Styela clava: one gene and its partner. The protein of the gene in region 1 interacts with the protein of each later gene in a pairwise test. Links are inferred from orthologs where the notes say so. Each region holds a gene or a part of one and is shown on either strand. Other genes may lie near its edges.

Region 1 (17,566 bases):
CCGTGCCGTACCTAATCCCTGACATTTTTTCGATGATTGTCTGATTCCTGCCTTTCACCTACTGTATCACAATACAGAAAAGATGAGCCTTTGGTTGAAGTGTTCTACCTTATCTAAAGGTTTTCAACAGGCACGTCTATCTTTACTCACAAACAGACAGTATTCAGCTTTTCGAAAAAATCAGGTGGGTTTCGATTTAAAAAATTAATGAAAACAATTGGTTTTGATTCTGTTATAAGTTTTATTCTAGATCTTGCATCTCATTATTTATTGTTTTGATAATATGGTGTTAGAAAATTTAAAAAGCAGTCAGCACTCTATCATAGAACTAAGCTACAATACTATAAATACAAAAATAGCCTATAATGACGCTTTCTTGTAGCGTAATATTCAATCCATAATACGGTAACTTTGGGAGTTCAAACTGTCTTTAAATTTTAATCTAACTATGTTCAACTCGCAATTGAGTCCACCATAAAAAAACAATATCTAATACATAATAAGGCGACACCAAAAAAATCAAAATTACCATACTCGCCTAATAAGACGACCACCCCAAAATCAGGCCAAAAATTTGGGTCTAGAAAAGCGACTTATTCGCCGGGATATACGGTAAATGCTGAAATGAGGAACATTATATATTTTTTATACATTGCTTTTGCTTTGCCCTATACAAGAGAATAAATCACTTGACTTTTTGAATACAGGATCTCTAGTTGGATTACTGATTTGCTGCATTCAAGTCCATGCTTCCAAAAACAAATAACTGGTTAACTAATCCCATACCCGACATAGACTTGTAACCTGACGAGAAGTTGTGGTTCACCATATGATTAAGCCGTCTTATCTCCTTTCCTCTCCCCCAGGATAAATATGTAAATCCTATTCATTCATAAACTTTTTTTTCAGCGATCGGCTGTATTCAAATGGGTTTCACCTTTGCGTAAGTCTGCAGATATTGCAAAACAACTCCCAATTCATCAGCCTGGTCAAAAAATAATCGGATGGTGGCTTGCTGGATGTTGTGGCCTGGTTTGTTTATTTCTTACATTTCTCAGTTAGTAAAGAAAGGCTGACATGACAGTCTTATGATTCAAATCATTTCGTACTCATTTCAGAATGGGTAGATAGTATGCCTTAACTTGAGTTAATTGATGAGTTTATATGTGAATTTGCATAAAAACACTGTCATGAGTCCTCAATTATAAATGGGAAGATTATTGACAGAAGAGTGAGTGAGTCACTCATGATGAGATGGTATTTTTATAACATATCATCATGCAATACAATACTGTTAACCGAAGGGAATTCGACAAATTGGGAGTCTTGAAAAAAAAATGTTGTAGACAAGCAATGTATGAATAGGAAAAATATTAAGTTTAGATTGTTATAAAATGCTGCGCAACTGAATAACTTTTCTGACTATGGAGGACAGTAAAATGGCCCAAGGTGGCCAAAAATTTGTCCTTTGATATATAATTTATGATCTTGAAGGTCTGTATTCTGACTGTATAATATGTCTGTGTTTTTATAGATATCAATTCAAAAATGTTCCTGGTGATTGCCACTGATTTATTTTTCTTTTTGTCAGGGTAGGTGGTTGGTGCTGTCGTTTTGGGTGGTGTGACTCGACTAACAGAATCTGGGTTATCTATGGTTGATTGGCATCTTATCAAAGGTATGAAACCACCAACTTCACAAGAGGATTGGGAGAATGAGTTCAACAAATATAAACAATTTCCTGAGTTCCGAATGTAAGTGTTTGATAAATATTCTGATAAAATATAAATACTGTGAATAAAATGAAAATGCAATGAATTCAAAATAGGAAAAATTTAGGAAAAATACTAAAAATATAAGTCAAGTTATAAAGTTGTGTCTGTTTAAAAATCGAATATTAATAATCAAGATGAAGCGAAGTAACACTAAAATCCTAGATCACTTCATTAATGGTTAACTCTGGTTATCAAATACTTGAAGAGATTCGAGTACTCTAAATAAAATTACTTAACTAACCACGACTGCGATTCGAAAGACCTGTGACTTGACTTGTGACTCGGTTTTAAGGATTTCTACCCAACAATGATTAAGCTGACCTGAGGCTAGAAATGACTTGCTCTCAGCCTGTGAGATACCCAACCAAACATTCCTCACTTGACTAACATTAGGTTAGTTTAATATTAAAAATCAAGTTTTTACATTTTCAGATTGAATCATGATATGACATTGAAAGAATTTAAATTTATCTGGTACATGGAATACAGTCATAGAATGTGGGGAAGATTAATTGGTGTCGTCTATCTTCTACCACTTGCTTACTTCTGGAAGAAAGGTTGGTTAAATCGAGGAATGAAAATCAAGTCAGGATTACTGGGAACTCTTCTTGTTTCACAGGTAGTATTTTTTAGAAGGGAATCTGGAACCAGGTCTCTGAAATTAGGAAAATTTACAATTGAAAAACAATTGATGGGGGGCCAGATGCTTCCAGTCACTTCTTGGCTCCTGCTTTTTTATTGACCTTCGCTGCTGCCTTGGTTTTTTTCACATTCCCGGTCTTTTTGGTAGTTTCCTTGATGACTCCAACAGCAACAGTCTGTCGCATGTCGCGGACGGCGAAACGACCAAGCGGAGCATAATTCTTGAACGCTTCGACACACATTGGTTTGCTTGGAACAAGTCTGACCATAGCTGCGTCACCAGATTTCAAAAATTTTGGTTCAGCTTCCAGTACTTTACCAGATCTTCTGTTCATTTACAATTGGCTTCAAAATATCTCCATATCGTAAAAAATTTCACTCTGACCCTTGCTCAGGGAAAATCAAATATTTATAACAAAACTTTCGCTAACCTTCTTTAATAGACATTTAAGAACACTTTATATCTAAGTAAACTTTATATCTTCTTTAATTTCTGTAGAAAATTTGCGTCCTTTATACCCAATGAAAGCTTGCAGTTCCGACTTCATTTTCGCAAAATTTGAAAATAAGACTCCAGCTCCACTCCACTCTGACTCTAAATTAAGTGTTTGTCGGTCCTTAACTAGATTTTCTCTTTTTCAAGGGACTTATCGGTTGGTTCATGGTTAAGAGTGGACTCGAAGAGAGGTTTGCAGATTCAGATGTACCGAGGGTCAGCCAGTACAGACTCGCTACACACTTGGGTTCAGCATTTCTACTTTATACTGGGATGCTATGGATGTCATTAACGCAATTACTTTCCAAAAAGTCTTTAAATTTATCAACAACGCGAAAATTGGTGCTTCGATATCATGCATATGGCTTAATGAGCCTTGTTTTTGTTACTGCTCTATCAGGTTGGAATTTTTAGTTTTTGAAGTTTTTTTTATTATTGAAGTTGAGGCCAATAGCATCTCCAGAAGTGTGTGTACGAGTATGGAGGTAACTAATTTTATTTGCCTACTTTACATCAAGTTGTGGGACTGAAGCCTATGGGCAAGGGGTATATTCACTTGCCTAACACAGACAGTCCCCAAACTCATAATAGAACTGAAATAAGGAAATTCAGAAAAAAATTATGGCCTGTCTCGGTACACACATGACGGGAGTACCCTTTTGCTTGCATATCGATGTTTGATAGCTGCCTGATTGGGATACACTAGATATCTTCGATTATTGTTTGATTTCTTCTGAACACATGTTTTGTTCTCCAGGTGCATTTGTGGCTGGTCTAGATGCAGGACTTGTATATAATTCATATCCCAAGATGGCAGACAGGTGGATACCAAGTGACCTAACAGCGTTCACCCCGAAATGGCTTAATATATTTGAAAATCCTACCACTGTGCAGTTCGATCATAGAATATTAGTAAGTCCATTTCATTCAAAACTAATTCAGTTATGGATTTTTTGAGAACATGCTTGCCACTGCACCACCGATACCTGTGCAGCTTTGCATCCTATGGGGATAAGGCAGGAGTGGGCATATTACTATCCGTGGAAATGGCCCACTGAGGTGTTTCATCTGGCCCATTTGTGTCTGTTGAATTTCTGTTGAATATGTCGATAAAAATAATGTCATAATGACCCGAATTGTTACTTAGTGCTTCTTATTATTATATAACCATTAGCCCAGCTGTTGTAAATAAACTGTTTTTTATTCATAGTTTTTCATATCGAGTTCTAGCCCTCCGTCGCAGTAACCAAGTCTTTTATATGAATGTAATAGGCCCACTCAAAAAAGTAATTGCCTACCCCTGGGATGGGATTGTTGGACTCCTCGATACAGTTTCACCGGTATTATTTTATCTTGCAGGGTCATCTTAGTTTAGCATCAGTCATGAGTATGTGGTATATGGTACGAAGATCTTCAGGTGTCCATTCACGCGCCATACTTGCATCTAATTTTATGCTGGGAATGGCTTTTATTCAGGTGAGTTGTTGTTAAATTAAATCTTATAAATTGTATAATAATTTTTCATGAGGAAATTTCCCCAAATCAAGGTGAAGTGCCCCCACTCAGTGATTCGTCTCCAAGAGATGTTATGGGTGGCTACTAGAGTGCCAAAGAGCTGCCGAGACTATAAATCATTATAATGTGGAATTGCCTAAAAAAATTTGTTTATCCTTGGAAAGAGCAAAGTGTGTAAAACTGCAAATTATGGCCGCTTATTTGATTTTGGAGAAATTTATGCGGGTAGATGGCCGCTTATTTGATTTTGGAGAAATTTATGCGGGTAGTTATATCACTAAATGGTCCATATCCCCGCACACTTAAGGTAAACAGAGGTGCTTGCCTCTTGCCTTCAGCAATTAGTGCTGGTGCGCCTTGTTCAGTAATGAAGATCTGGTTACAGTTTTCTAACATATCTCTAGGTACTGTTGGGAGTAACAACTTTGCTGACTTATGTTCCAACATCTACAGCGGCCATGCATCAATCAGGGTCTCTTACTCTCCTATCATTCACGACATGGCTGGCTCATGAGCTGAGACGTGTACCTAAGTAAGCAAAACTGACTATTCCACCGCAGAGACTATGCACAGATGAAGAAACAAAAGAATGGCAGAATTCTACAAATAATATTGAATTTAATAAATATCAGCATTTTTTTACAGCTTGCAAATATAAATACAATTATGTCATTTCCTAATGTACCATTGAAAGCACCATATACACTTTTAGGCAGGTTATGTCGATAAATTTAAAAAGCAAGACGTACAGAAAGGAGGTTTGTTGCTATAAACTAGCAAATACTTAGAAATATTCGGTCTGATAAAGAACCAAGATATATATGCACAATGAGCACAAACGATGTACAGATTTTACAAAACGCAGTGATGGTGGAGAACTAGGGATGCCACTGGCTGGATTGAACCTGAAGTCCCATTTTACAATTAAACAAAAAGCACAAGGTTGTTCACTTTTTCTTGTGTTTAGTAACATTCTTCATCACCCATTCCATGCCATCCTATGAGAATAAGTTAAGAAAAAATATATTCACTCGTGCGACGCTAGGGATGAAATCTTACTTTGTATTCTGGTGTAGTATTCATGCACACGTTTGGACGATACAAAAGCCAGAGTGCGAGTTATGCTTAAATTCTCATATTGGAGTTTCAATATAGGCAAAGAGAAACTAGTGGAAGCCACCTACAACCAATCACTTGAATACTAATATGTTGTTAAGTAGAGAATAACTTTCCCAAGGCCCACACACCATCTGGCATGGTTGCAATCAATGGTTACTGTAGTTGTTGAAACTTAATATTTATTGCTCCATCTCAATTTACTTATGCTGTGTCAGTTTGCGTATCAATGAATAAATAATATATAAGGTAACAAATAATTCATAGCACTGTCACAGTTCGGCAAACACAATGTCTATTTTGTCGTACCTGAAGACCTTCTCCGCTTAATGCTGAACATCCTTGTATATTCCAATTTCTATCTCGTAATTTAGCCAGTCCGAGTCCCTCTGCTACTTCTGACGCCTTGGCTGAGTGTAATAAGTCCTGCTTGTTGGCATAGACAAGAACTGGAACTCCCAACAACTTATCTTCATTGAATAACTCCTCCAATTCCTTAGGGTATTGAAAATGTTACAAAATTAATTCCTAAATGTCAAAATCGTTTTTTTGTATTCAGCCGGTTCGCTAATTTTACGAGATCAGCGAACATTTTGTAACAGAACCGGGTGAAAAGAACCGGCTGACAAAAAAATTGAATTGAATTCCACCACTGTATATAGCCATTTGATAACTCATATGCTGGAAAAGCCTAAGCCATTTTTAATCAATTTCCTAAGGGATGTATTAAACAAAGTCTAAAATTTTGTTACAATTTTGGCTATAAAGATGAACACCTCAAACTGATGGTGGAACAACATCTCCATATTTTAATAAATAAAGGGACCCTAAGAAAAATCTTCAAAAATTTGGTTTTGCATCACTAATAGTTGATAAAATGCTACATGTATCCATAGATCAGTTAAGATTGTAGAAGTCCTATTGCTACAAAATATATTACTCACTAAATTTGTTTCCTCTAATCGAGTTCTATCAGCACTATCCACAACATAAATCAGCACATCCGTGTTTTCGAAATAATTTCTCCAATATGGTCTGATTTTCCTTTGACCACCAATATCCCACACATTCAATTTGAATCCTTTTGTTTGAACACTTTTTATGTTGAAACCCTGCAAAAGTTTTTTATAACATAACTCACTTGGTTCATATATTTTAGGCGAGGATATATCTGTATATTATGGTACATTATTAAGTGCATCTAGTACCAACAAATAAATATCTACTGTCTTCATTAAAATGATTATTAAATTCATCACAACTGGTTAACCCATATAATAGTACTCTTTAGACAGATAGGTTTAAAAGCTTTCCTGACAGCTAGGTAAAATTAGACCGGTTGAGTATGTAAATATGTGTGTATTTTTCCATGGATATTTATTCAGCCCATCTATGGCCAAATGTCTTATAGGTCCACATGAATTTGTGAATTATTATTTTCAAACAAGGCTACAGTAAATCAAAACTCAGTCTTGTGTTCGGGAATTTATTAGAATCATTATTACTACGTAGCCTACTATTAGATAAACTAAGAAGAAAGGTGCCTATCCGCTGTGATATTACCAATAAAATTTAATACCTGTGTGGGGGTAATGTGTGTGACATCTTCTGAAGCTAGACTCTTCAAAATTGTTGTTTTACCGGCATTATCAAGACCAAGCAAAAGTATCCGCATCTCTTTGACACTGTCAGATTTAAGTTTCCTCAAATAACTCAATAACCCCTGAAAGTTGTAGCAAAATATGGATACATAGTAAATTAAATAAATAGTAAAATATATAACTTGTAAAAGCGATAACGCTCTAATGTCTCACCATTGTATTCCAAGATCTTCTACAGTATCACAAAAGTTTAGAAATTGTTGTCAAAAATCATGCAGAAAAATTGTAAATTAATCTTCAATTTGCAGTCCAAAATTTCTGTCGAAGATTAAGAAGTAATGAACAAAATTCTCGTCTCAGTCACAATTTATCAATTTCGTTTCCAATCTATTCCAAGAAGAACGTCAGCCACAGCGGTACGGACCCTTTTTCTGTTTCTGTCTTTTCCTTGAATACTGGTTATGTTGAATATTAGTGAATGTAAATATATCAGATCTGCAGAATAAACATGAAATAAAGCTATAGTTGAAGTATATAATCAAAAAAGCTCGATCCCATAAGAAAAACGCCGTTCTAATTCAGTAGAAGTCCTAAACACCTGCTATACTTCAAAAAATGGCGTTGTTAGCGACAGAAAGCTAGAAAACAAATAAACAAACCATCTGATTTGTCACGCACAGCTGACCAATAGCATCACGTGATCGATTATTGTGGTGGTGTGCCGGATTATGCGATAGATTAATTTTAAATTCTATCAATCAAAGATTAAATCTCTCGAGGTGTTGTAAAATACAGTTATTACTGGTTATTATTTCGTTTTAAAATTACATATAAAAACTGAGGTTAAAAAATTAGAAACCTATATATTACATTTACAGTATTGCCATATCATTGTGGGGAGTCGGGAACCTCCAGAAGCGCATGTCAAGATAATTTTTGCAAAAGTATATTATGTATTAATCACATAACTAACAATGCTATAAAATACACAACTTATTAAATTAGTACACGTCGGACACAATACTGTATTTCAATAAATTCTGTTTGCTCGATAGCTTTATGCTAAGATTACTATTCGCCGCCATGTCGCTTATTTCACAGTGCTGAAATGATCGTTCGCCTTAGGCCGCGAGACGAAGCCGTTTATCTTTCAGTTTCGTAGCGCACATAGGAGGACTACTTGGAAATAATATCAAAATGTTCCTTAGAAATTTAGTAACAAATAATATCTTGTTCCCATTTCCAAAAGTTGCACGTTTTACAAAAAAGACGCCTTTACTGAAAGAAATATGTGCTACCCCTTGGGTTATATCATTGAGGTGTATATATACACCTCAATGGGTTATATACACCTCAATGGTGCTACCATCTGTCCTATATTCTCTGGGCAACATTGGCCAATGATCGGTGACTTCTGCATGACGGAACAATTAAAATTTGATCAGCCGATGGCGGCTTTTAGGTATTAGTTAAGTTATGCTAAGACGCTATTAAAAACTATGAGTAAGTTATTAAACACCCTTAGATCCTAATAGCAATTTTAGTTCATCACTAGCTCATATAACGTTTTTAAATAAGTACTGTGCGGCGAAAGGTTATACTATACCTTGAAAGATATGCCACAAACAACGATACGGTATTTTTATGATTGTATGAAAGGTACATGATTAATTTAATGACGATTCTTGAATATTCAGCAGACTTATACTACTATATAGGCTACTACAGCATATTTGCTTCGGAAAATAATGACCGTTTTTGTAATGCACGTTTGCGAGGAAGAAAGAAAATAACCAATTTTACTGATGTTAGGCCGTCTTGAAGATATTAAGCGATTGAGAGGTGAGAAATAATGTATCAAGTTGTAGGCTGACAGTTGATGTTTTAAAAAATACAAGACATTTCAAACTGTGCGATTCATCTAGATCAGTGTAGATATAGTCTAGCATGAAAACACTGCAGGACTGTAGTACATCAGATGAAATTCCATGTGCAGTATAAGAAGTATTTAATGGTATTTTTATGTTGTGTCAAATATGATTTTATTCGTCATTTCAGATACTGCACTACAAAGAAAACGCCACCAATGTTCTACCAATCCAACCTAACGCAGGCTATCGTCGCTGCTGCGATCAGCGCTATACCTGTAAGAATAAAATGGATCGAAAAAGGTATATGAAAATCATAACAGTTGCAAACAGCTTAGATGGCTATTCATATTGAAATTCTTTGGCATTCTTCTAAACTTGAAACTTCCCATCGCACTGATGTTGGAAGACTTGAAACTCATTAAGCTTTTTTCTCAACTATGAAGATCTTTTGAGTTTAACGGGGCATCTATAAATAAAACTGAAGAATTTGTTCTATCACTGTATAAAGAGGATATAAAAAATGTAAATGATACAAGGGCACGCCTTTCCAAAACCGGCAAACATATGGATTATACTCTCACACCCAACAATGATTCACTACAGAAGCATGTTCTGAGGGCAAATTACTGTTGTCTAGAACCGAAGCCAATTATTCCCCCACCTATTGGCCATGAATGGGGTTTTGATGATGGTGTTTTGCGGATTAACTTGATGGATCCAAATCAGTTATGGAGTTGGCAAACTGCAAGTGTAAGAAATATAGGTGTCAAAATAATTTATGCATATGTGTCAAAAATAACCAAAATTGCACAGAATTTTTGTTTTGTGTCGACTGCAAAAACCACAGTATACGTATAGACATAAGGGAAAAGTTGATTTTCGAGAATGAGGATGTCGAAAGCAATTCATAGGAAAGTGAATTATATATAGATATGCGTTCGTGGCACCGCCACAATATGCGCAAATTTTGATGACGTCATACAAAAAACTAATCCCATGTAGCTCACAGAAATATTTAAAATAGATAAAAGTAATAGCCTTCTAGCAAAAAATACAATCTTTACCACTGAAAATTTCAAAGCAATCGGTCCAGGGTCCTGTAGCCTAATTAAAGGGAAATGCGATTTTTTCACAACTATAAGAAGGAAAATTCTAACATAAAAAACGAGAACAACAAAATAATAAAACGACTTTGTCCAACAACATATTAACAAAACGATTTATGGGTGCACTTCTTCTCCAATTATCAGGTCTTATCACCGTCATTCTTGGCAATCCCGGACGAAATTAATTACGCGATATCGCGTTGATTCGAGGCACGGCATGCACGAATGAATGAAGGTGGTTCAACAGGGACCGCCGAAATTAATCATTAATCTAATTACACCTAGGAGTTTACATTTAAAAATAGCCTTTAAGTTACATTGCATTTGGAATACATCATCATATTTGACACTATTCCTCAATTCCCATATGGCCGATTTTCCACATTGAATGATTGATTCCTCTTCACTATGAATATTATTAGAAATAATTACCTCACAATTGATTTCCCTTATATTGCACCACTGCCAAAAGTCTAATATCCAATCAAAATACCAAAAGAAATGCATGCAGGTTTCTTCATTTTCATTACAAAATATATATATACACATTTTCCATTTTCATCATCGAACCAATATTTTAATTTGTCTCCTGTGGGTAGAATAGGCAAAATTTTCCAACTTAGAATTTTGTACTTATTTGGGAGTTCATATTTGATTTTTGAATGAAGTTTTCTGGCATAATTTCCTAATTGGCAATGTGCCACACCTAAGACAACATTGATGATTCGACAATAATAATTTTTACTATCATCAATGAATTTCGCCCCTGCCACAAATTTACTACAATTTGAATAGAGTTAATGATTTTCAACCAGTTTTTATCCCGCGATACAATACTGTTTCCTACAAAGTCTCCTAAAATATTCAGCTCATTCTCAATTTGAATACCCCTGTATGATGGCCCTATGTTTAGCCGTTTTGCTGATCCGCACAACGTTATGTTGCATTTTGGAATATTTATTCTTGAGCCTGTAGCTTTCTATTTTAATATCTCGTCTATAGAGGATAAACTTTTTAATGTGACAATAGTGTCATCCGCAAAACCTTTATATTTTACCCTAGTACCTGTACGATTTCGAAAACCTATAATTGCATCGAATGTTGGATGCTAACAATTCGGACGTTATTTATATATAAAGGTGGGGCAAGGGGACAACCTTGTCTAACTCGTGGTATACTGAATTATTTCGATAAATATCCATTTGTTATTATTTTTGCATTGGCGTTACCCATCTAATCAAATAATTGCCAAATTTCAAGTTTTTTTTTAATATTTTGAGATTTATTATTATTATATTATTTTAATTTATTTAATTTATATTCGAAATTAAGTAGCGTAATAAGTGTCCATTTTTCATTTTATTTTTATATCCTTTTTTATATATTAAAGTTATTAAACCAAGACTTGTGTTCTGAGACAGCCACGATTGTTTAAGATAACTATTATAAATTAGCACAAGTATTGGGCGAAATTGTTTCCAAACTTTTGTTAGACCATCCAGACCAAGGGATTTATTTGACTTCATTTGTTTGAAAGCTTATTCTAATTCTTCTTCTGTTAATTCGCTTAGCAGTTCTTGTTTTTGCTCGTTTGACACTTTTTGCTGATTTGAATTATTTAACAAAAGATTTTGACAATAAATGTTCGAATTTTCATCACTCTGATAAAGCTTTTTATAAAATTTTACTTGCTTTTCCTGAAATCCATCACATGTGTAAACTAAAGTATTGTCAGGCTTTCTTGAAAATTTTTGCTTTATACCTTTGGACTTCTCTAAATTTAACAAATATTCAACATTTAACTCTTGCCCTAATTATTGCCCCTTCGATTTATGTTTATAATACTCAGTATGTTCCCCAGCTTTTCTTTTTAGGGGGGGTGTTTAAAAATTTAGGGGGTGGTAAATAATTTGCTGTTAGATATAAAACTAGGCTATTTGTATTCTTAAAAAAATGGTATGTATTTAAGAAACGATGTAGGCTACATGGGGGCCCCCCAAGTTGATTGACGCGAGCAAAAATCCACAGCAGAATGTAATTGTAGGGCCAGAAAAAGGGAGCGAGGAAAAGTGCGGGACGACACGCTCAAGCGCCCTGAGAAAATTTTGAGAAATAGGCACCAAAATAGGCTCTAAGCTTGATTTTAGATACACCTAACATCGCAGTTTGTTATGTAATGAAATCAATAAATATAATATTTAGCTGATAGAATTCCCGGGGAATAGATAACAAGCACGGCTTTCAACCGTAAATATATATTACTACGTTTCAACAAGTAATTTGCAAGTTGCAACTGATAGTGACTAATGAAGTTACTTGCTCATCTGGCATTGTATGAATGGCTAGTTATGGCTTGTTTTGTTACACATTTCTAATTTTTTTGAACATGTTTGTTTGACTTTTGTATGAATTAAATTTTGGAATAAGCTCGTCAACTGATCATAATGTTGTATTCCTTCAGAACCGAAATATTTTGTTGGTAAGAAGACAAATCGCTGAAGTTTGATTCTTTTCAATAAAGAAATAAACAACGCTGTCATTCATCTAAAAAAAGTCTGTTTTCAGTGCCTAGTTTTCGTTTTGTGACATCTTTAAGCTTTCTTAAAATACGGCTGATATCTAAAATACTGCAGTGTGTAATCCTAATACCCATACGTATACATAAGATACCGGAATAATTCAATTGTTACGAAATAAACGTGCTTAAACTGTGATAATGATGTAACAATAGACGGTATCTAAAACTCAAAAGGTACCACATGAAGGGTTAAACTATTTCACTCAAGTTCGGCGGGCCATTTTAAATCGTCACGCGGGCCGTAATTGGCCCGCAGACTGCGGTTTAGAACCCCTCAGTGTGGAATCGCACCTCAAAATTAGGGGGGGTGTTTGAAATTTTAGGGGGGGTGTTCACCCCCTATAGGGGGGGGGGGGGGGGGGGTGTAGGGAAATCACTGAATTAATACTTCATAATTTCTAATTCTGTGTCACGTATTGTTTGAAGAGTCTCTTCGTTTTCTATCTTGCATTTCCCTGTATTTTCTCTGTATTTTACTAGTAATTAATCTTCCCATTGATAACTGTTTCTTTTTTTATTTTACTACAATGAGTTGCCCATATTCTTATTTTGGATATACATGTGTTCCAAAAAGCTCCTTCTTCAGCATTATCAAAGTTACTTAGTTTAATTGCCATGCCTTAAATATTGATTCAATTCTCTGGATAAAATCCAATCAGTCGTTTATTAAATTTCCAATAACCCGGTCCTCATTTTATGAGGACTTCGTTTTGATTCCGACATCTTTGTCCGTAAGATGTTCATCTTTTCTTGATGAGTTTTCATTACTAAAACAGTATTGCAGTATTGATACAATACAAAAAATGTGGATCGTCGTCTTAAACCGGGATGGGGAAAACTACAGCAAAGCTTCGCGTCGCCCACTGGCGACGTAAAAGGATTTCGCAGCTGAGAGCATTAATGAAGTCACGTGACCTGTCGAAAAACAAGTTCGCAGTGGAAACCAAAGTTCCTCCGCTCCATTCTGCATTTAAGAATCACGTATTATAACTGACACTGTCAGAACTAACCGCATTTTGTGTGCTTGTCATACATTTCTAAAGCCGTGAGTACGTCTTTATTCCTGAGCATCCGTACCGGTATACTATATCCGCAGGTCGCGGATAATAATTAATAAATAAACAGCTAAGTCGCCGAGAATAGAAAAAGGCGATCTTCGCCGAGTTCGTTGCTTTTGTTATGTGCGTTCGGGAAATGGCCATCGGGCAGCGTGGTGTGTTCACTTGTGACGTAAGCAAGTGGAGGACTTATCTATTATTTCTTTATTACTGTAGCACAAAAACAAAAGGAATTTTTAGTCTAAAATTTCGAACGATTATATCTAAAGTTGAGCTGTTTTGTTGAAACTTTGTAACGGTACGCCAGTATGCCGAATACTTAAATAGCCTCGCGGTATGTCAGTATGTCGACTTTGTACAAATAAGATAGAATAAATTATTAGACTGTTATCAGGTTTTGAATGGGACGAGGCATGTTAAAGCCCTCACAAACCACAAACTGGGAGAACGCCTCCTAGTACTGCATTAACCCAGCTAGGATATTTTGTGTTTAGACTACCGGTACCTGACTCTGTTCAGCTCTGTCAGTCTGTTTCATTAAAATACTATCGGTATCTTTTAACGATATGGTAGGCTATGTTTGATAGATACGGTAGAAAGATGTGGCGTACATTGTGAAGAATAAGCATCATTCTGCAGTTATTTGTGTATTTTTCTACATATCTGGGGGTTGCTAATTCAGTAATTCAGTAATTACTGGAATATGAAAAACACAAACTGACATAAGCAGTTAGTGCTTTAGTGAAACATAAAAACTGTTAAAGGGCAAAACAGGTTATTTTTTATCATAAAGTCCTGAAGTCTGTGTCTTACTTTAGCAGTTTTTGAGCTATTTTTATATTATGTAAACCAACATCAAGCAGACATACATGAGGTTAAAATTTGTGAGTTTTCTTTTTTGAAATTGTGGGAGTTTGGAAATCTCTGGATTAAATGATTTTCGATTTTCTTCTCCCCTAGCAATGTGACACATTTCTCTGATTCTGCGATTATCTCGATATATGTAAAATACAAGTTAAATAAGGTGCATCGTCTGGGCGTGGTGTCATAATGCTGTAATGTCCTCTGTTTATTAAAAGTTCACGTTCTGCTAATTGTTTTTTGCTCATTACTCCCTAATGCTGTAGTGAAATATTTTCCTTTGGTATATCGGATTACTTTTTATGATTATTCCAATAGAGACATTTTTAGATTGTGCTTTTTTTCAGTTTAATAATGTGCAGCTCTGTATAGACACGAGAAAGCGAACCATGTCATGAATAAGTCATATGATTTCTGTTATATGATCAGATTGTGTCCGTACTACTTGTTTTTGAAAAACTAGTCATTTGACGACCATAATATGCCCTTTGTTAAAAATAAAAAATAAAAACTTATGCCGAGATACAGCTTTCCCACAATCTGACAATGTGTCAAATTTCATATAGTAGAATGATATTTACATTGGAATTACCGGTACATACATTAGCCTCATTTATAATCTTCCATATATCAGAAACAATCCATTGTAAACAACGATTATTGTTTTTAAAAATATCAGAACACACGCAATAAACGGTTTAATGAGTTTTTTGTGTTATGATTATTATTTAAATCAATTCACATGAAGTATTAACTATAGTACAAGGCCAACCAAGTTAAGCAATCTAAGTAAAATACAATCTAAAGAACAAGAACGAAACAGTTAAAACATGCAATGAAATATAATGTAATGTTCATCTCCACCCTCCGGCAGAGGCGCAGAGTCTTTTAAATTAAGAAATGTTTTGTCCAGTTCAGTTAACATTATAGTTCTCCTCAAGTCGTCCTGGCTTGTTGTAGGGCTGTAACCTCTGAAGCGCCCTAGGCAATCTTGGAGCTCTGCTGGTTAGCGATGGGCTCACATGATGACTTGGTTGTATTTCCACCGGAGTGTCTTGAGTAGTTCCTGCATTATGACTCCCAGAGTTTCCAATGTCTTCATCTCTCTCTCCGCTGGGGGGAATTGTTGGTGAGAATGGCATGATCGGCGGAGGTTGAATGATGATGCAAGGTCGTATAAATCGTCTGTTTTGTATAGTCACTCTTCCCGAGCCATCTACTCTGATTTTGTATTGTCTGTAAGGTAGGATTTCTACAATTCGACCAGTCCTGTTCCAGTGTCGTGGCTTGTTTGGGACTTGTGATTGTATAACGACTGTTGTCCCAACTGACAGTGGAGGGAGTTGTCTCGATGTGTTGTTATATTTGTCGATAATGATGTGATGGCGGTTAGCTAGTTTCTGCTCACGTTCCCCTGCAGATATAATCCATTGTGGATGGGGACGGTAATGCTGTGGATTTGTAGGAACGTGATCCCGCAGTTGTCTATGCAGAAGTATCTGAGCTGGGCTGAGATCAATGTCTTGCAGAGGAGTGTTCCTGTATTGTAGGATTGCCTGTGCTGCCTTATTATTATTCAGAGAACCGTCAGGTGATGTGCTATCACGAATGATCCTCTTGGCAGTTTTAACTCCGAGCTCTGCCCGTCCATTAGATTGTGGGTAAGATGCTGAGGACTTTCGATGCTTTATTCCCCAATCAGTTAAAAAGTTCTGGAATTCGGATGAGGTGAATTGAGGTCCACCGTCTGAGTCAAATTCTTCTGGTGCTCCATAGGATGTGAATAACCCACGACATGAGTTGATGAGCTCTTTAGTGATTGATCGATGTGGTGGGTAATGAAAAATACTGATCCAACCACTGAATCTGTCTACAACAGATAGGTAGCAGTGGTTCCCTAGTACAAAGTAGTCGGCGCATATGTGTTGAAAGGGATACTGTGGCGCCGGGCTCGATATCATTGGCTCTTTAGTTTGAGATGGAGCGTATTTCGTGCATGTGAGGCATCCAAATCGAAAGTTTCGGATCATGGCGTTCATGCCCGGCCAATAGACTGATTGGTTTGCTCTTGCTTTCATGCCTGTGATCCCTTGATGCGCAGAGTGTAGTGACCTCAGTATGGTCTTGCGAAGGGGAGTGGGAATAACTATGCGAGAGTCCATTAGTATTACATTGTCTTTAGTTGATAGGCGATCTCTCACACCCCAATAATCCCGGATTTCAGGCGGTGTCCCATGTCTTGTGTTAGGGAATCCATTCTCAATTGTTTTGATGAGTATGTTGTAGCTTTTGTCAGACTTTCCATGGCTTCTAATGTGATCCAGGGTCACAAGCGCATCGTCATCATTTATTGAGTTGATGACAGATTGTTGAATTGCGTGAACACGAGCTTCGCACTGCTCTGTTGTTGTTACTTCATCAGATGATGGGTCATTTCGTGCTATGTCCATCACTGCATTTTTCGTATCTGTTATTTCCAAGGCTGTGGGATTGCGTGATAAAGCATCGGGTGCTTTGTGCCATTTCCCTGGGCAATGCTGCATTGTGAATCTATATCGCAGGGTGTGTTCTTTCAAGTTTTGTATTCGAGGATTTTTAATACTATCCAGGTCTCGATCTTTAAAGATTCCCAATAAGGGTTTGTGGTCAGTGGACACAATGAGGTTTTGGCAACCTAAGGTAAACATTCGTGCGTGTTGTAAGGCCCAGGATACTGCTAATGCTTCTCCTTCAGTGGGTGAGTATCGACTTTCTGTTGGCGTGGTGAACCTGGAGTTGGCATAAACCAAATGCCAACCATCTTTGCAGCAAATAGGAACTTTATCGATCGAGCAATCACAGTATTTTTGAAGAAGAACGTATCCGATCCCATCTTTGCTCCAGTCACATTGGAGGCAAGTTGCACGTTTTGTGTCAAAGGAACGTATGCCCTGTTTAACTGTCTCAC
Region 2 (17,566 bases), on another chromosome or scaffold:
TTCAAAAGGAAAGGCAATAATACAATTGTAGCCAATTAGTTGTTATGTAACTACAAAACTACACCAAATTGGCCCAATTCGTGAGAAACTCATGAAAACCAAAATTAATTATTCCCGTTATAGCAATTATCAATTTCTCAAAATCCAATTTCAAGATTCAATAGCCTTTCGGTGCCATCCCATGTAAAAATAAAATTTATTTCCAGTAATATTCCAATAACGTAAATTCGAAATATCTTGTTAAAACCAAATTATCCACTTGAGAACAACTTTTTACATCTCATAATTGGAGTAAGTACGTGACCAGGAACACGGTGACTTGGCAATAACAAGTTAATTGCTAGTAATGAACTTCAAGAAAACACTTTTAATAATGTTTGATTATAGTGAACCGAAAGCTAACCAGAAACCGGAATGACGCGTGATTCTTTAATCGTTAATGTAAAAATCTGTTTCTTTATTCTATTTTAATTGCTTGGTAGAAAGCTATATATTCAGCAACGTGTTTTGTTTTAATCAGACTAGATTTGATCAAATTGTGTGTACATTGTATTTCTGTATATATTGTCGGAATTGCAATAAACTCATAAGGTGTTTTCAAACGTCTCTTTACTACAGCCGAAGGCTATCGACTGATAGACAGTTCGAGTTAACGAACGCAAGACAAAACTATTGTCAGTCAATGCTGGGGTTATAACACATAAACCAGACCAATCTACAAACAATCTATGTGTAGTGATAACTAATCACTATACAATGACATATCAATGATAAATACAATGACATATTAACAGAAACTTCGGGAAAGCAGACAAAACCTAAAATAAGGTTTAAAACGTTACCAAAGGAAAGAGAATGCAAAGATAGGGACATGCGTCGCTCACTCATAGATATATGCTGCTAGACTTCTACTGCTTGAACATATATGCAACACGCCGCGGTTTCTTGGAAGCAAAATGCTCAATAACGCGCTGATTAAAGTCATGCATCCCAGAAATAACGTCTCTGTGAATGGATAAAAAAGCCAAGGAATTTAATCTATCTTGCTTCATTGTGTTTCTGAGATACGTTTTAATACGCTTCAGCGTGCTGAATGTTCGCTCTGCGTCGGCGGAAGAAATAGGCGTCGTCAAAATGATGTCCAGAAATTTTGCAGACGCCGCAAAGGTAGTTACTAGAGTGTTATCTATGAGGAACCCATAGAGCGCGCAAGTTGATGTGATGTTCAAAAAAGTTTGATTGGTGTATATACATCGCAATTCATTTTCCAATTTACCCACGTTTATCATGGGGTAAAATTTGGAGACAGTAGCCAACAAATGGATGGGAAATTGACGTGCAAATTTGAAAAATTTTTGGGGTTCATCAAAGAGAACGCGGCAAGGTGTTCAGTGCGCAGACGATCGCCTATTTGATTCACCAGAATGTCACAGCATTCCTTTCAGACAAAATCAAACGCTGCGTTGTTTACCCGCGGCGTAAGGAGCACTCCATGTGTCGTCGTATTTTATTGTTTCCCGGATACGAGATACAGCATCGCAGAAGTCTGAAATACACGACTGCACAGACGCTCCATCCATGATAGAATATTGTGAAAAAAAAAGCGAGAAAAAATGAAAACTCACCATCTTCTAGCAGACGCTTTAGACCTGCCGCCTCCCTCACAGAGCGTTCGTCCCAAACCGGAGAGCTCTGAATGCCATTGAAACACTCAATGAGCTCAGACCTAATTTCGGACACGCCCTGCACCACGCGTGATTGGAAGTTCCAACGTGTTGGTGCACAAGCTGGGAGACGGCGGCTACATATCTGGCGAAGGAGGTCAGAGCGCTTCGGCGAAACGGAAAAAAATGAAGAAAACCCCGAAACATTTGCAAAAAATATACGGACGAGAGGGGTATCAAGACACATATTTTTAATAACGAGGTTAAATTGGTGTGCATAACAATGTAGAAAATGCGCATGAGGAAAATCTTCTTTTATATAAACTTGAACACCATGTTTCGACCCACTCATGACTGCCGCGCCGTCATAAGTTTGAGCTATCAATTTTGACTTCGCGTTGTAAGGCTGTAACACTTCTTTCAGTACAGCCGATATCCCGCAAGCCGTGCGATCAACGATTGGTACAAAGCTGTGAAATCTCTCGGTAAATAATAAATAAATTTTATACATTGAGTCGAGCAAATCATTTTGGATATCCTTAAAAGTCCCTTTCGAAACAGTTGCGGCATCAAGATGATCTCTCAATACTGTATCTAGGGATGCGGTGTATTCCACCATATCCAAAAATACCCCTCTATTAGAAGAGCCAGCCCGTTCATCGTGCCCACGAAGGGACAGCTCGTGACAACCAATGAACTTCAAAACATCTATCAATCGACCGAGAACATGGCGGTTTTTCTCGACGTTTTGGTTGTGCCGACGAATAGAAACCGCGCGTCCTTCATCCAACTGTGCTGCAATATTAACATTTTCGAATGTTCGGTATTTTACTGCATTGTCCAGATGCTCCATAGAAGATTGATGATCCCTGGCACGCTCGGAAAGATGTTTAAGATCTCTAAAACCAAATTTACACCAACGTGAGTCTGGGGCGGTAGCAAAAAGTAGGCAATAAAAACAAAAAAGTGCATTTTTGTCCTCGCTGTAACACAACCATTCGTGTTTTTTATACCAAGTTTCTGCGCAGAATGTACGCCGACGCTTTCCTCCGTCATGGGATTGTTCCAGTGAACAATTTTTTGGTTGATAAGGCCCAAGACGTTGTACCTCTAATTTTTGTTCCAGCGGCAGCTGCGAAAACGGAGTGCGAAGTAGTGCATCAACCTTATTCATTATGAGGTCTAAGGCTAAGAAATGCGAAGCCGGATAGAGGTGAGGAGCTCAAAAGGAATGTGGAAAATCGAAAGCAAATGGACTAAAGGTCTCTAACTGATTCAAATAGCGAAACACGCGACAAAAACGAAGGCGAGGAAACTATCAAATCTTCAAGCAACCAACGAACGAGAAGGAATGCGAGAATATGTCAACACATTTTTGTAAGAAACGTTGGCATTGTGTCGTCATAATTTCGGGGCTAGCCCCGATGATTTTGTAAAAGAAACAGAAAACAAACGCGGCGAGTGGAAGATAAAAGAGAGAATACGATATACAATGAGCAACCGGGGCAAAATCGGCGTCGCCCCGTCGACGTTCGGCGAAGGCTTTGCGAGCGAAAAATGAACCACGTCGGGAGAATATGGCTGGTGTAGACAGTCTGTGCAACCGATATTGAGGTATTTTTCGAATATTTTTTATTATACCGAAAAAACAACCGGGGCATTGCCCCGGTTGGCCCTATTGACGCGCCGCCACTGATTTTAGCCATCATCAACGACAACATCCCAATTTGTTTAAGATAAATTTCACAAATTATTTTCAAATTCAAAATAGAAAATATTCACTTTTACTTATTACACAAGTCATGATCATTACCATCAAGGCACATAAATGAGAGCAATAATATTTAACACTCAAATTCAAGTTAAAGCCACTACTCAGTCACATAGTCTTTCATCCAAATATGAGGTTTACGATTTCGACGAGGTCTGGTTGCAACACGATTCACGATTATTTTTAGAAGAGTTGAATGAATGAATGAATTGATCTTCATTCGTGTTTGTAGTCCTTTTCAGCATATTCTTCAGAATCTTCACCCACGATTCAGCTTTTCCATTCGCTTGTTGATGCACATGCGAAGAGCTTGCATGCTTGACTCTTCACTCTCTCATGAATTCGACGAGTTCAGTACTTTCAGTACTTTCACAATCTGGGATAAATATCCATGATAAATACCATGTCTGGCAAAATGACGTTTTAGACATATGATGATTTGACGTTATTTATATTCTGGACACCTTCTTCAAGCGTTTTTATTTTGGTCATGTTTCTTCATTTATCGAACATGGCTTAAGGTTCTACACTTCACCCGGAAATTATTTCTATCATTGCACGGGGGACATGTTTTCACGTAGACAGGGCAAAAATATTCAGAACCTGCGCCTTCGTCCACAAAATTTGAACTCTTAGTTTGCATTCGGAATTCGCTTTTTGTGTTGCTGAGCTAGGTTCATATTTCGGCGTTGTAAATTTTGAGTCGACAAAATTCGTTGCTCGCTTTCCGATGATGCACGAATCTTGGATGCAGAATTTCTTGTAATTTGCCATTCAATGTACATACGTTTTTCATTTCTTATCATTCGCACCTTGTTTTTTAAAATTACAGGAATCGCTTTACTACGAAATTCAACGAGAAATGTATTAATATTGTCTTTGTACTGGGCATTGAAAAAGCGAAATGTCTCTATCACTTCATTCTTCCGGAGATTATAGTATTCAGTAGGGCTGGGAATGGTTAACCGGTTAACCGATTTCAGATGGTTAACGGTTACGATTTATTTTAATCCTTAACTGACATCTCAGGTACAAATCATCTTCATACCGTACAATTTCTTCAAATATGATTACGTCATCGCAAATTTATCTCTTGTGGCATTTAATGAATATTATTAACTGTGTGAGTAAGGACTGTGCATAATGGAAGTACCAAGATTGCTGATTATGGAAATCTGACAATGATGAATTCAGAATCAGTTTTCGGTCGATTTCGAAATAGTGTTTACGATTTCATTGCAAAATCGGATATTCAATGTCATACAACAAGTGCGCAGTTGATGGCGTTTTTCTTTATATGATATATACTCCGAAGTAAAATTTGCACATCGAACACTGATAATTTGTGACATAAATGACGTTTAACAACGGAATCAGGTATTCTAAAATACTTCCACATGCCCGAACCACGCTGCCTATCTCGTGCAGCAGAGTAATCATGAAACTATCTCGATTCGTGAATAATTTTAATAAGCGATACCGGGATAAGAACACGCGAAATTGCTTTATAAGCATTGAGACGTAACAGGCAGAAATTATAGATTATTACGTCAAACGTCACGCGGCGGTTAACCGGTTAATTTACCCGGTTAACGGTTAAAGTGTTTTCCCTGAAATTCCCAGCCCTAGTATTCAGCCATCTTCTGTAGTCATCTTCGTCTTCAGTCTCACTATCATTTCAGCACCTGCAATATGAGATTATGGGATTTTGTTCTTCCTTTAGGTCCGCTGGCTCATGAAAATATTTGATCTGGCTCTTCCATTTCTTGAATGCTCCTGATCGACAGTAAGCGAATTTCAGACACCGCTGCCACCATGTAAATTGAGACATTGCGCCAGCTGAAGGATGTCTTAGGCCTAGGCCTATGTCAAATAGGCCTTTTTCAAAAATTTGGTGAGCGGTCTCGGATAGCAACTTTCCACACTCAAAATCAGAAGAAAAGAGCCTACAAAACTATTGAATGGTAGAAAGTTTGCAAAAAGAAAAGGATCCGAACTCTGGTAGAGTCCCCAACGTGAATATCTATTTCGACGATCATGGCCGCCGAAATACCATGCGCGTCGCGTTTGCATTGTTGTATCCGATTGAATTTTGTATTGTATTGGAATTTAGATACCCAGACTTATGCTGCACACTCTTCGTATATCTTTTCTCAGATGTATAACCTATTTATGATCTTGGTATGATTTGGGTTTATGGGAATAAACAACATTGACCCAGGACTTCCATTGTCTAAAAAAACTCTAAATCCGGCCCTGTCCTTCGACATGGATATTTCCTACATACCGATTTGTTGTTATTAAAAGATCATGTCGACACTAGTGCTTTATCTCAGGGCTTCCCAAACTAGGGGCCGCGAAACGAATTTTAGGGGCCGCAAAGAGAACACCAATTTTACACAAAATACCATATATATTGACTATTGTACTTTTTTCAGACTCTTGATTCGAAATACAATTATTATACAAATAGTGTAAAACAAAGATTTCACGATTCCGAGTGAATACATCATCATAATACCGTGTTTTTCCAAAAATAAGACACTGTCTCCAATTTTCTTTCGAAAATAACACTAGGGCTTATTTTTGGGATACAGAATAATGAGATTTTTTTATTATATATATATGCAAAATATGAATACCTATTTCCATTTACTTATAAATAGCACGTTTTTATTTTAAATACCTGCTACATATAGACTTTTACCCATTTAAAAAAGTAGAAAATATTTCTTGCTATCGACTGGGACGCAGTGGTTCTCGAACTTCATTGTATTGTGACGCCCTTCAAAAATATGCTCATATAAACGATTAAACAAAACTTAACGACAGTCAGTGAAATCGCAATTAATGGGCCTTGGTAGAAAAGGCTGCTTTATATAAATACGAAATCGCAAAGAAGTTGGGAGTGCGCAATGCTTTTGGAACCAAGGACAAATAATCTTTATCTACAGAAAACCGAATTTCCAGAATAAAACATTCCTATTATAGCAACATCACAGGTAGGATCGATTTAATCTTTCTTTTTTCCAGTGAAAGTAGAAGATATGGGTTTTTGAAAGGTTCACGAATCACGAAATTTTGCGACGTCCTAGCAAAATTAAAACGACGCACTTCCACGAGATTGAGTCAAAAAAAAAAAAAAATTCGCGCTATCGACTAAGTCCTTTTTGAAGCCGAGCTCTTATATTGAAATCTTTTTAAAATTCAACCTTGGTCTTATCTTCGGGGAAACACGGTAGAATGATGGCGCTTGCATAACAATGCATATTCTGATCGTGAAACCCGATTTGCGGTTTGCATAACAATGACGGCTCTAATCGTTATGCTAGCGGTTTCCGAAGACGATTTGCTGAGTGCGCCTCGAAACATATTACATATCATATTTATTCTAAATGTTTAATTGTTTCAAATGACGTGTTTATGGATCAAAGTCATTTTGCCGTTCTATGTGTTTACTTTCTGTACGTAGGGTCTATTGTTACGTAATATAAGAGATGAACCCTACATGCTGCAACCAGGCAGTGATAAAAAAGAAACGTTAACTTTTTGCCTTTATTCATCGGGCTTACATGATTAAAAACCTCAAAAGACATTTAGTTCATATTAACGATGACAAAATTGTGTTTTGTTTCGAGGCAGTATATTTTTCGTGTAGGTGCGCCATGAGTTTTTTCCCTGATAATTTGGCGTCGAACAAAATGCTGCCTTATGCTAAGTTTGATCAATTAGAGTGAACAATTCGAGATAAGGACCATGCCGTCAGTAGCCATACAACGTAATTCATCATTTAGGCCTGTATAAACATACATTGAGCCTTGCTATGCAGCAAAAAGCATTCGTACCCATTACACTGAATAATTGAGAAACGTTAATCTGAATAAATATATGCTTGTTTTTGTTATTGAGTAGACATGTTAAAGTTGAGAATTAGCTCTGCCAATAAAACATCAAAAAGGCATAATTCGAACTGTTTGGCATTATTTAACGTGGACAAGGGCCGCGAAAAATTTTACTATATTAAAAGGGGCCGCGAGCTCAAAAGTTTGGGGAGCCCTGCTTTATCTGGTAGAAATTTACGTTTGGCCAATGATGATTGTGACAGCACGAGCAAGTTTGAAGGCTTGCACATTTTGAGTAGACTTCTCGACTTCATGGGTATATTGAATTTCGTGGATTTTTTTTTGGATTAATTGGTTTTGTTGTTGGTAACTTTGAATTTTTGCTCGAGTACTCTTTAAGAAAACCAAATTTCACTTTGCTCACGAATGTTCAGGATAAATTTCACTGTAAATGTTCATATATATCGACCGAACACAGGAACATGACAACAGCAAATCTTTGCCAGAAATGTGACAGGCATAGGGGATTATTGCGTTTCGATATAATCCCCTATTTGTATGTTAATCTACTAGCGATCGAATTCGCTTCGACACCATTTATCAATACCGAAAACTGCATACCAGTATGCAACGTTTTTCTGTCAGTTATCGATCGTTTGAACGTGGCCTACACATTATAAAATGTGTACTGTGAGAGACAGTCAGTAAGACGCCATCTTGCCTCATTGTGCGATGCCTTTTCGAGTTTCGTCTGACTGCCTGGGGTATATCGCTCTACAGTCTAACAGTAAATAGCAACCAAGGGCTCGTTCTGCTGTATTGCAGTGTCTATATCTATACTAGCAAGTAGTGAAGTTAGTTCTGTAGCCACAAATAAGGGCACTTCACTAGGATATGTATTAGTAGGATGGCATTATCTTCACTACTCTTAATAACAATATATAGAATATATATATACAAGAAATGCTTAGTCATGTTAGCACAAATAACTGAATACGGGCACTGGGATATGTATTAGTAGGATGGCATTATCTTCACTACACATAATGACATAGTCACATTACAGCATTTGTAATTAGGTACCGTATTCTGAAACTGTAATTACTTGTCCAGTTACCGTATATCTGCAACAAAGGCTTGAACTACTGGACTTGAGTTATTCGAGTGACAAAATTAGCTTAGTACGTGGTAATTTAATACCTGGATTACAAATATGACTACAGAAAAGGCCAAAAATATATTGGAAGGTTTTCAACTGTAAGTTTTTGTTCAATATTTACATTAGGCAGTCTTAAATGATTGAAATACATTGGATGATCGAAATAAAAATGGAATTGTAATGTTTCATTGTAATACAGTACCGTACTTTATGATATTTGCATATGTTTTGAAATATTTTACTGCAGGTTTTGATGTTTTATATATTTCAAATCACTGCTGTGGTTATTCATGATCCGTCTTGATTCTCAACATTGAGCTTTCTATGAGAAAATTATCTTGATTTAGTATTTTTCTGTTTTCCTTTTTTACTGTTATTGATTACTTTGTTCAAATAACTTAGGGAACTGAATTCAGCAAATATTATTTAAGAGCTGTAGGTAAATATTCACAGACTGTAAACAGCACTAAATACAGAAATAGCACACAAATATGAATTATCATAACTGTCTGTCTGTAAAAAATCTATGCTACAATCTTCTGTGTATTTAAATATTTATTTATTCAAGATTCATGTATCAATTTTCAACTTTTTATTTATAGAAATTGGATGAATTTGCGCGATGCCAGTTCTGGCCGAGTTTTATGGCAGGGCAGCGAAGATTTGTCAAAGCCAGAGCAGGAGCACGAAGGTAACATGGTTTGCAGAATTGGTAAAATATTGATGAAATATTTTTTCCCCATCTGTATTGCGCAATATATGTATTAAGTTGGGTCAATTATCATAGATGATAAAAGTTCATTATGCCACCACAGCAAATGTTGAAAAAGAAATTCCAGTCCAGTTTTCAAAATATAAGGCTACCACAAGACAAAAACAAATTGATTAGCAGACCTCAGCCTATTTTTTTTGTTACTTTTTGGCAGTGATGTTCATGGTGAGCGGCTTTAAAATTTGATGTTGTCATTAAAATTTATTGGGTCATTTATGCTCAAAATTAGCTGTGTAAATATGTGGCCTCACATCCTCTGTTATATTTGTTTATCAATATTATTTTTAGCTCGAGTACCTAAAAAAATATTGAAATGCAAAGCTGTGTCAAGAGAAATCAATTTTTCCTCAAAAGAGTCTATGGAAAAATTCAGACTGGAACAAAAAATAATTTTCAAAGGAAGAGTACTTGAAGGTATATTTTGCTACATTTTTGTTTTTAGTAATTCTGAACTAGTATTGGCATTTTAAGTCAATCACTTATTGTGAAACACATTGTTGTTACTCACCGTGTTCTGTTGAGTGGATGACCCTTTACTGAGAAACCTCAACCTCTCTAACTGACTACTCAATGAGGGATTTTTAGCATTTTGAGTATACATGCGTTTTATGGAATAGTAACTAATTTATTCTGAACTTCCTAATTAATCACATATTCATTTTGCAAGAGTATGAATAGGTATAATTTTCTAATATGTTCTTGTTAAATTCTTGGATACTGGTTCCCGTAGTGTGTGTACCAGGTTAGGGTTAGGCCATAATTTTATTCTGATTTTCATCATTTTAGTTCTATTACGAGTCTGGGGCCTGTTGTGTTAGCCAAGTAAAAATACCCCCTGCCCATAGCTTGCAGTCCCTTTATACAACTTGATGTAAATTAGGCGAACAAAATTAGTTACCTCCATACACGTACTTCTGGAGCTCCAATTCTTGTACTAACAACTGTATTATCGAACCATACCTGCCTAACAAAGTTTATATCTTCTTTATCTTCCACTGTTTAATAGTTTTATAATGTGGTATTTGATAATGTATGAATCATAATTCATTATATTGCAGAATGGTATTTCCAATTTGGATTTGTGATTCCTGATTCAACAAATACATGGCAGTCGACAATTGAAGCTGCACCACAGGGGCAAATGATGCCTGCTAGTGCTTTAAGGTAACATCTTAACAAGTTTTGTTCCGCTCTTTGGAAATACTCAATGTACAAATAATATCAATTTAATGAATTGGATGCATATGCTGAACTATATAGAAAATAGTTATGTTTCAGGATGTGATGTTTGCTCTTTCATTTTATCCAGTGCAGACATTCAACCCCAAAGGTACTCCCGTATTTGTGTATCCGGTTAGGGTTAGGCCATAATTTTATTCCGGTTTTTCTTATTTTAGTTCTATTTAGCCATGTGAATATACCCCCTGCCTATAACTTTCAGTCTCTTTACATAACTTGATGTGAAGTAAGCGAACAAAATTGGTTACTTTCATATTGGTACACACACTTCCCTTTCTGATAAATGGGTTGAAAATTATATTTTTATTGTAGAAAAGAAGACCATGGGTCATAGCTATTTAAAAAAATTTGGCATCAATGAGAAAGTTGCTGTTGCAAATTTACTTATAATCTTTTGTTGGTATTGTGTACTTTCATGCTTTCACATGCACCATTCATATCAGGACTGAGGCAATTCTGGTAGTCCATTTACTCAAAAGCGCGCTTTGCATTGTTATGAACTGCCAAAATGGTGCGGCAATCTTTCTGTGGTTTTAAATGGGTTTGGAAGAGCATTACAGTCTGAAATATTTGCATTTTTCAATAGTATTTTAACCGCATCATAGTCACTACAATCCAGCTCTATTGTTGCTTGAGATTTCTGTGGATGTTACGTATTTGCTTGATCCTAGCTATCGATTATCATATTCTCTTTACATGATTTTGCTTTTATTTTTTCAGCGGAAATGTTATTATAGAAACCAACTTTTATGATGAAGATCTTCTTGTGAGTCAATCACGTGTTCGAGTATTTTATGTGTAATGTCAGCTTCCCCTGCAACTGAATATTCACACTTACCTTATTACTACGAATGGTCAAAAAATCACAACATTGAGTGAATTATCAAAGTTACAGGGAATGACTATGCAAAATCAAATGGAATCTACGAATTTAATTTTTAAGCGCATTTGACTAAGCACTGCAATAGCTAAATAGATGTTAGATTCACTCAGTCTAGATATTCACTGTTAGTTTCATTTATGATATTAAAAATTAGGTACTCCCGAAGTATGTGAACCAAGGTGGCGGACACTGAACCGTAGTATGTGTACCAGGTTATGGTTAGGCTATATTTTCAGGTACGAATACTACAGGGATCCCTTGGGAGTCACATAAGGTAAATTGGAATAAAATTATGGCCAACCCCTAACCTGGTACACATACTACGTTCTGGTGTTCGTCATCTTTGTTCACATACTACGGGAGTACCAAAAATTAATCTGTAATCCTATCATCATTCGTATGTGATGTTTTAAATCAAAACGTGAGAGAGTTCAAATTTTTATTTGTTTATGTGTTACTGAGTCTCTATCTATAAAGCTGAATTGAGGCTTTTTATTTGTTGCCAAGGAATTCATTTTTTAAGTTTATTCTAACAAATTTTACTTATTAATGGTAAAGGGTACATCTGACCAGCAGTTTTGTCATCAATTAGATATTTCCAAGATGCAACTGTGGCGATTGTACAATTGCAACTTGTTTTAATATATTATTTCTATCTTATGCACTTTCATATGTCTACAATTTTACCAATTCAAGACAAAAAGCGGGTGCTAAATATTGTACAGACATTTTTTGTATTTTAAGTTTTTGTAACCAGTGTTTCTCACAAGTGTGTGTGTGTGAATTCTGTAAAAATGCACCTGTCCGGGAAGGGACCTTGTTCTAATGTGATAGTTGTTTCGTGATTTAGCACCCAAGGCGGTGAAGACTCAATGTCGATTTGGTATTTTTAATCGATTGCATCTCAAATTATAACATATTAATGTAAAAAGTACAATGTTTTCAAGTAATATATTACTTTTTGCTAATTAAGCAAATGAATAAATAGATTTTTTTGTTTTATACATTTTCAAGTACTGTTGGCTCCCTGTGTCAAAGCGTTTGCCTCTATCATTATTAGGTAGCATGGTATACGTTTTATTAGTTTTAACTGCAGTGCTGTCAATTTATATACAGTTAACCAAAGTAAAGGTTATTGATTGTCATTTTAAGCACCGTAAGAGCGAAATCTTTGGAATAGATGAGTCAGTATTCCTGATCCCGAAAAAATTCGATATTTTATAGTATGGTAAATAATATAAGTTGTGTACGAAGAACAATATACTGCAAACAGCTCTTCACGATTGTTTATTTTCAATTGTTTCTTGTCAAGGCACGGGCAGGACAATGTATTCCCTGATAAAGAATACAATATACATAGTTCATAATTATGTAAAAAGGTGTTCATGTTCTTTTCCTATTTGCGACAAGACTCCGGAAATATTTACGGGTAGCTTGGTCACTGTTGTGCAACCTGCGAGGTTTCTGGTTCATCGGATGGAAAAGGAACGAATAACGCCGTCTTGGTAAAATGGTATGGCGATCGTTTCCATTTTTAAAATCCATTCGATTGTGTGACGGGTGCGCAATATGCGTCTATATTAGATGAAATCTTCGACGCACTGATGTGTTTTAACTGCGAAATGGGCATGAGACCAGAGCACCTACGACACAATTAGTAATTATCTTACATTGAGATAGTTACTTGACGTCGTTAACGTACTCGTCTATCACCATAAATATTTGTTACACCACAATCATGTATAGCTTTCGATGCCGTAAAAGGGTACTGGAATAATAATGAAATTTGTGTCCAAGGTTGTTGGAGCTCTCAGGGCAAAAGAAGCCGTGACTCTCAATCGTGAATAGAAATGAGCATGCTAGTATTATAAAACTTTGTTCCTCGTTAGAAGAGACAAAGTTCCACAAAACCAGGTGGCAGACGGATTTTTTTCAAGACCAAGACAGCAGTAGATATTTATGTGTCTTAGTTTAGGAGCGGACGTATCTGCCCCTTTCCCCCCAACAATTTTTTCGTTTATAGGAACACAACGTATTAATTCCGGCCTATAAAATGGTCATTGCATGAACACACGGTAGCATAATAACTGCATAATAGGCCCTGTCAATTGGTTCATACTAGCCACTTTTTCTGCGCTCCAGTAACTCCGCCATTTACTCGATTTATCATATAAAAAAACACGGAGGATTGCGCTGCATTGAGATTCGACTTTGTAGCAATTAACTGGATAATTTTCCGACCCATTAAATCTTTTTCATCGTAGACCCGTTAATATAAAAAAACAGGATAGTAGTCCGACCCATTAAATCTTTTTCATCGTAGACCCGTTAATATAAAAAAACAGGATAGTAGTCTAGCGACAAGTAACGGGAATTATGACCTCGTGTTTTCTGGTCCGATGAAGTTTTATCACAGCCTTGAGTGCAAATGTCCATGGGGGCAGATGTACATAAATGCAAATAACCTTCGGTCCAAATGTATATGGATGCAAAGCCCGTGGGTACAAATGTCCCTGGCGCAAATGCACGTCAATGCAAATGTCTAGAGCGAAAATGTACATGGGTGCATATGTACATGAGTGCAAATGTTCGCAGGTGCAATCAATATATATATGTAGGCTTACCATACGTCCCGCTTTAGGCGGAACAGTCCCGTTTTTAGCGTGTTGCGTCCAGCCGTCCACCATAATACACGAACATGTTCTCGTTACTGTTGTTGCTGTGCAGCGCAGCGCTAGCCCACTTGCTGGAGGTGAATGCGTTATTTTGTTTGTTTCGTTGTTTCCCGTAACGTAGGGGAAAGTGGGGAAGGTTGGGACACTTTTTTCCCTATGCAGATTTTGAGCCGTTTAATCTGTACCTTCACTTAACTTTGCGGGACTCATGCAGTGAGGGGTAAATGTAGTTTTTTATTAAGCGACTAAGAAATTCCCTTGCGACACACATCTTATCACCAAAATGTTTTGAAAAATGTTTGTCAATTGTCCCACTGTACCCCACTTGTGGGGCACATTCGGACAGACCCTGGGGCACATAGGGTCATTCTGTTAAAATTCAACGAAGTATGCCCTTAAAAATGAGCAATTAATTAGCATAATCGTCTAACTCCAAAGAACATGGAGACTTCAAATTTGAAGATTTGAGATGTTTAAAATCACCGCGCGGCGGTGTGGCTCAACGGGCTAAGCGTTAGGAATACGTTCGCCACCGCACCTCTAATTACTCTGCATGTGTTCGAATCCCATGCAGGGATGGTTATGTGCAAGAGGATTGCTGGACTCCTCGCCGTCGTTGGGTGGTTCACGTAACCGCTGGTCGGTTACGGCTTCCTCCACCACCAAGTTCATGCTTCCGAAAACAAACAATATAACTAATCTCATACCCGACTTGGAATGGTAACCGGACGAGAGGCGTGGTTCGCCATATGGATAAGCCGTCTTATTGGCTTTCTTCTCCCCCGGGATAAATATGTAAATCCTGTAAGGTTCAACCGAAATATTTCAGATATTTCAACAAAAAATTTCGCAAACAAATTAATTTATTTCCTTTCTCGAATCTAAATCTGGAAATATTTTTGATTCTCGAATATATTTCATATTGGGCTATGGGTCGAAATATACCATAATATTACACAAAATATAAAGTATGCCTAGGTCTCTAAGCATTTATTGTATCAAACATTGTCAAATTGTGCCCTGTAGAGCATGTCCCACTGAAACCCGGTCCATTGTTCCCCATAGGAAACAACTATTTTTAGACCATCACACGACGAAATTCGGAAGGCGCATCCACTCGCAGTGGACATTTACAGTGGACTAAAGCGGATAGCAGTGGACTATAGGATTAGTGTGAGAGCTGATTTTCCACCGTGCCCCATGTCCCAACGTGACCCATTTTCCCCTATCACATGTAAAATCAACACTAATTGGTCTTGTTCTGACGTTTACGTGAATGTAACTTTGAACAACGTCTTTTTGACGAAGGCGTTATCTACGGAAAAGCATGCTTGGGGGGAAATAAGTAAATTCTCAATTCTTGAAAACGGCAGGCTATCTTTCTTCCTTTTGCTGTACATAAAAAAATCTAAATTCGAATTATTTGTACCAGTATCGTTAGCGTCAATTCCTTTCTATTTTTCGAACTGAACCCGATATTCAGACAGAGAATATGCGCATGAAATCTCGATAGCAATATGGTCAATGAGTACAGCCGGGATGGCTTTAAATGTAGGCCTATGTAGTAAAATCGAGAAATGTAAATTAAAAAAATCACAGCTCACAAGGGGTCGTTGTCTTTGGAGGCGTCCCGCTTTGAAGTCACAAAAATATGGTAACCCTATATATATGGGTGCAAAAATCTGTTGATACAAATGTTGGTAGGTACAACAGTATGCGGGTGCAAATGCCCTAACCGCAATTTACGGATGCAAATATGCTGTCACCACAGTGACCGTATATGAACTACGGTCACAACGTTCTACACAGAGCTCTGATTTTGCATATAAGCATTGCAATGCATGTTTTTTTTTCATTTCAGGAGCATCTTATTTTTCGAAAAAATTGTCAAGTGATTTATCATCTGACATTTCTCCAGCAGGCTGGAAAAACAAGTCCAACGTCAAGCTGTCGTCCATTCATGAAGGCAGAATATCAGTGATGCACTATAAAGTATTGATTGTCAAAACAGCAATAAACAAAACTATAAAATTGCCAAAGTTGGGGCAAGAGCATAGGATATTTAGTTTAGACAGAAAGCCGATAAGATGTCCTAATCACATGGTGAACCACAGCCGTGCAACAGTACAGATCAGGTAAGCAAATAGCTGACATTAATCGTTCGAAAGTTATAAATTTGTATGCGAAGAATGTATGAGTTGACTAGTAGCCATCAGATGGTTGACACCTTCAAAAAGATGAATACCTATACTAAAATTTGTTGGCGACACCTAACAATGAAATGCAAAACTCAAAGGACACTGAAAGTGGAGTGGCAAACAAAACAGACGTTGAATTGAGTTACAGTTTATGTTGAAGAAAGCACGCGTTCAGTGCGGTAAAATTATGCGCAATAGTCAGCATTTTTATAAAATTCTTACAGCCTTTGAAACACAGGATAACATATGAATAAAATCAGCGCGTAATTCATGCATGGGATTATTCCAAATCAATAATATCTGGTATAGAACTTTGACATTGTCTCGTGCTAACTTTAAAATCGCGAGATACTCCCACTGGTCTTTTCTGGCAAACTTATGTGGATGCATTTATCTTCACTCCTTTCTATGTATGTAAATTTTATTTTATTGGGCGTGGATCTTGTATCATATCTGACAATCTTCAGTGCCGCACCGTCCAGACAGAATTTTTGCGAAACTAATAGACTTGAGGATGTATGATCATGTATTCTAGTCTAGGTTATGTATAAAAATGTTTGATTAAGCTTTTGTAGTTGGATTTATTGCAGAAAATACAAATCCAATTAGTAATTGGTTTGATTTGCGTTGAGTATATTCACAAACGCTTGCATCACGTCATTTGTTAGACGCACCATGCCGAACTATGCAATCATAAATCAAAGAATAGATACGTTTGCATTTTGAAATAGCCGGAAATGACGCAAATCCAGATCAATTATAATTAATTGGAAGACGGACTGAACAAAAAAAATTACAGACGCTAAAAATACAGGGTGCGGAAATTGCATTTATTCAGATTTTAGACCGATGCAATACACAGTTTACATATAGGTGGAATAGGTAGTTCGTACTTGGGTTTTTGCACCACGTCATATTTGACGGCAATGATGTTTTATATTTGAGGGGGATGTTTAGATAGTTTTACACAGAGATTTAAATTGAATCAATGGCAGAAAATGGGTCTGTGATTCTACGATCCTTTATCTCTAAAGTTTTATACAATACTACGTCTACGTCTTTATACAATCACGCCTGACAGAAATAGTTAAGAACTTCGCATTCTACGTACACAGCATATATTATAAGATAAATACGGTATAATATCAACGACAAATTTTTAGTGAAGGCACATTCACAATAGCACAATAATGCGATTGAAATTTGTGACAATGAAGGATGAACTTAGAAGTTGATAGAAAAGGTTTCAGCCTTTTTATTAAGAGTATAAAGACATTTGCCAAAACATTTATCTGGAATAGTCTCGTGCTCGACATAGCTTGAATTCAATAAATAAATGTGATATATATAAACAATATTAGTC

The links.
Region 2: the proteins of ADP-ribosylation factor-like protein 3 (region 1) and retinal rod rhodopsin-sensitive cGMP 3',5'-cyclic phosphodiesterase subunit delta-like interact in binary tests that used the Caenorhabditis elegans proteins (3 or more experiments, as listed by UniProt). The link is inferred for Styela clava from reciprocal best matches to the Caenorhabditis elegans genes arl-3 and pdl-1.

What each region holds. Positions count from the first base shown.
Region 1 is NC_135258.1:8,469,753-8,487,318, reverse strand, and holds ADP-ribosylation factor-like protein 3, read right to left. Parts: upstream 7,644-17,566; 5' UTR 7,362-7,643; coding exon 7,359-7,361; intron 7,268-7,358; coding exon 7,124-7,267; intron 6,657-7,123; coding exon 6,489-6,656; intron 6,040-6,488; coding exon 5,854-6,039; intron 5,427-5,853; coding exon 5,376-5,426; 3' UTR 5,019-5,375; downstream 1-5,018. Other genes in the region: heme A synthase COX15-like, read left to right, coding at 83-184, 910-1,032, 1,597-1,754, 2,208-2,394, 3,061-3,313, 3,671-3,825, 4,273-4,389, 4,833-4,964. UniProt on the Caenorhabditis elegans protein: GTP-binding protein that may be involved in protein trafficking; may modulate vesicle budding and uncoating within the Golgi apparatus.
Region 2 is NC_135252.1:5,203,600-5,221,165, reverse strand, and holds retinal rod rhodopsin-sensitive cGMP 3',5'-cyclic phosphodiesterase subunit delta-like, read left to right. Parts: upstream 1-8,087; 5' UTR 8,088-8,490; coding exon 8,491-8,534; intron 8,535-9,038; coding exon 9,039-9,127; intron 9,128-9,496; coding exon 9,497-9,622; intron 9,623-10,266; coding exon 10,267-10,372; intron 10,373-11,167; coding exon 11,168-11,249; 3' UTR 11,250-12,610; downstream 12,611-17,566.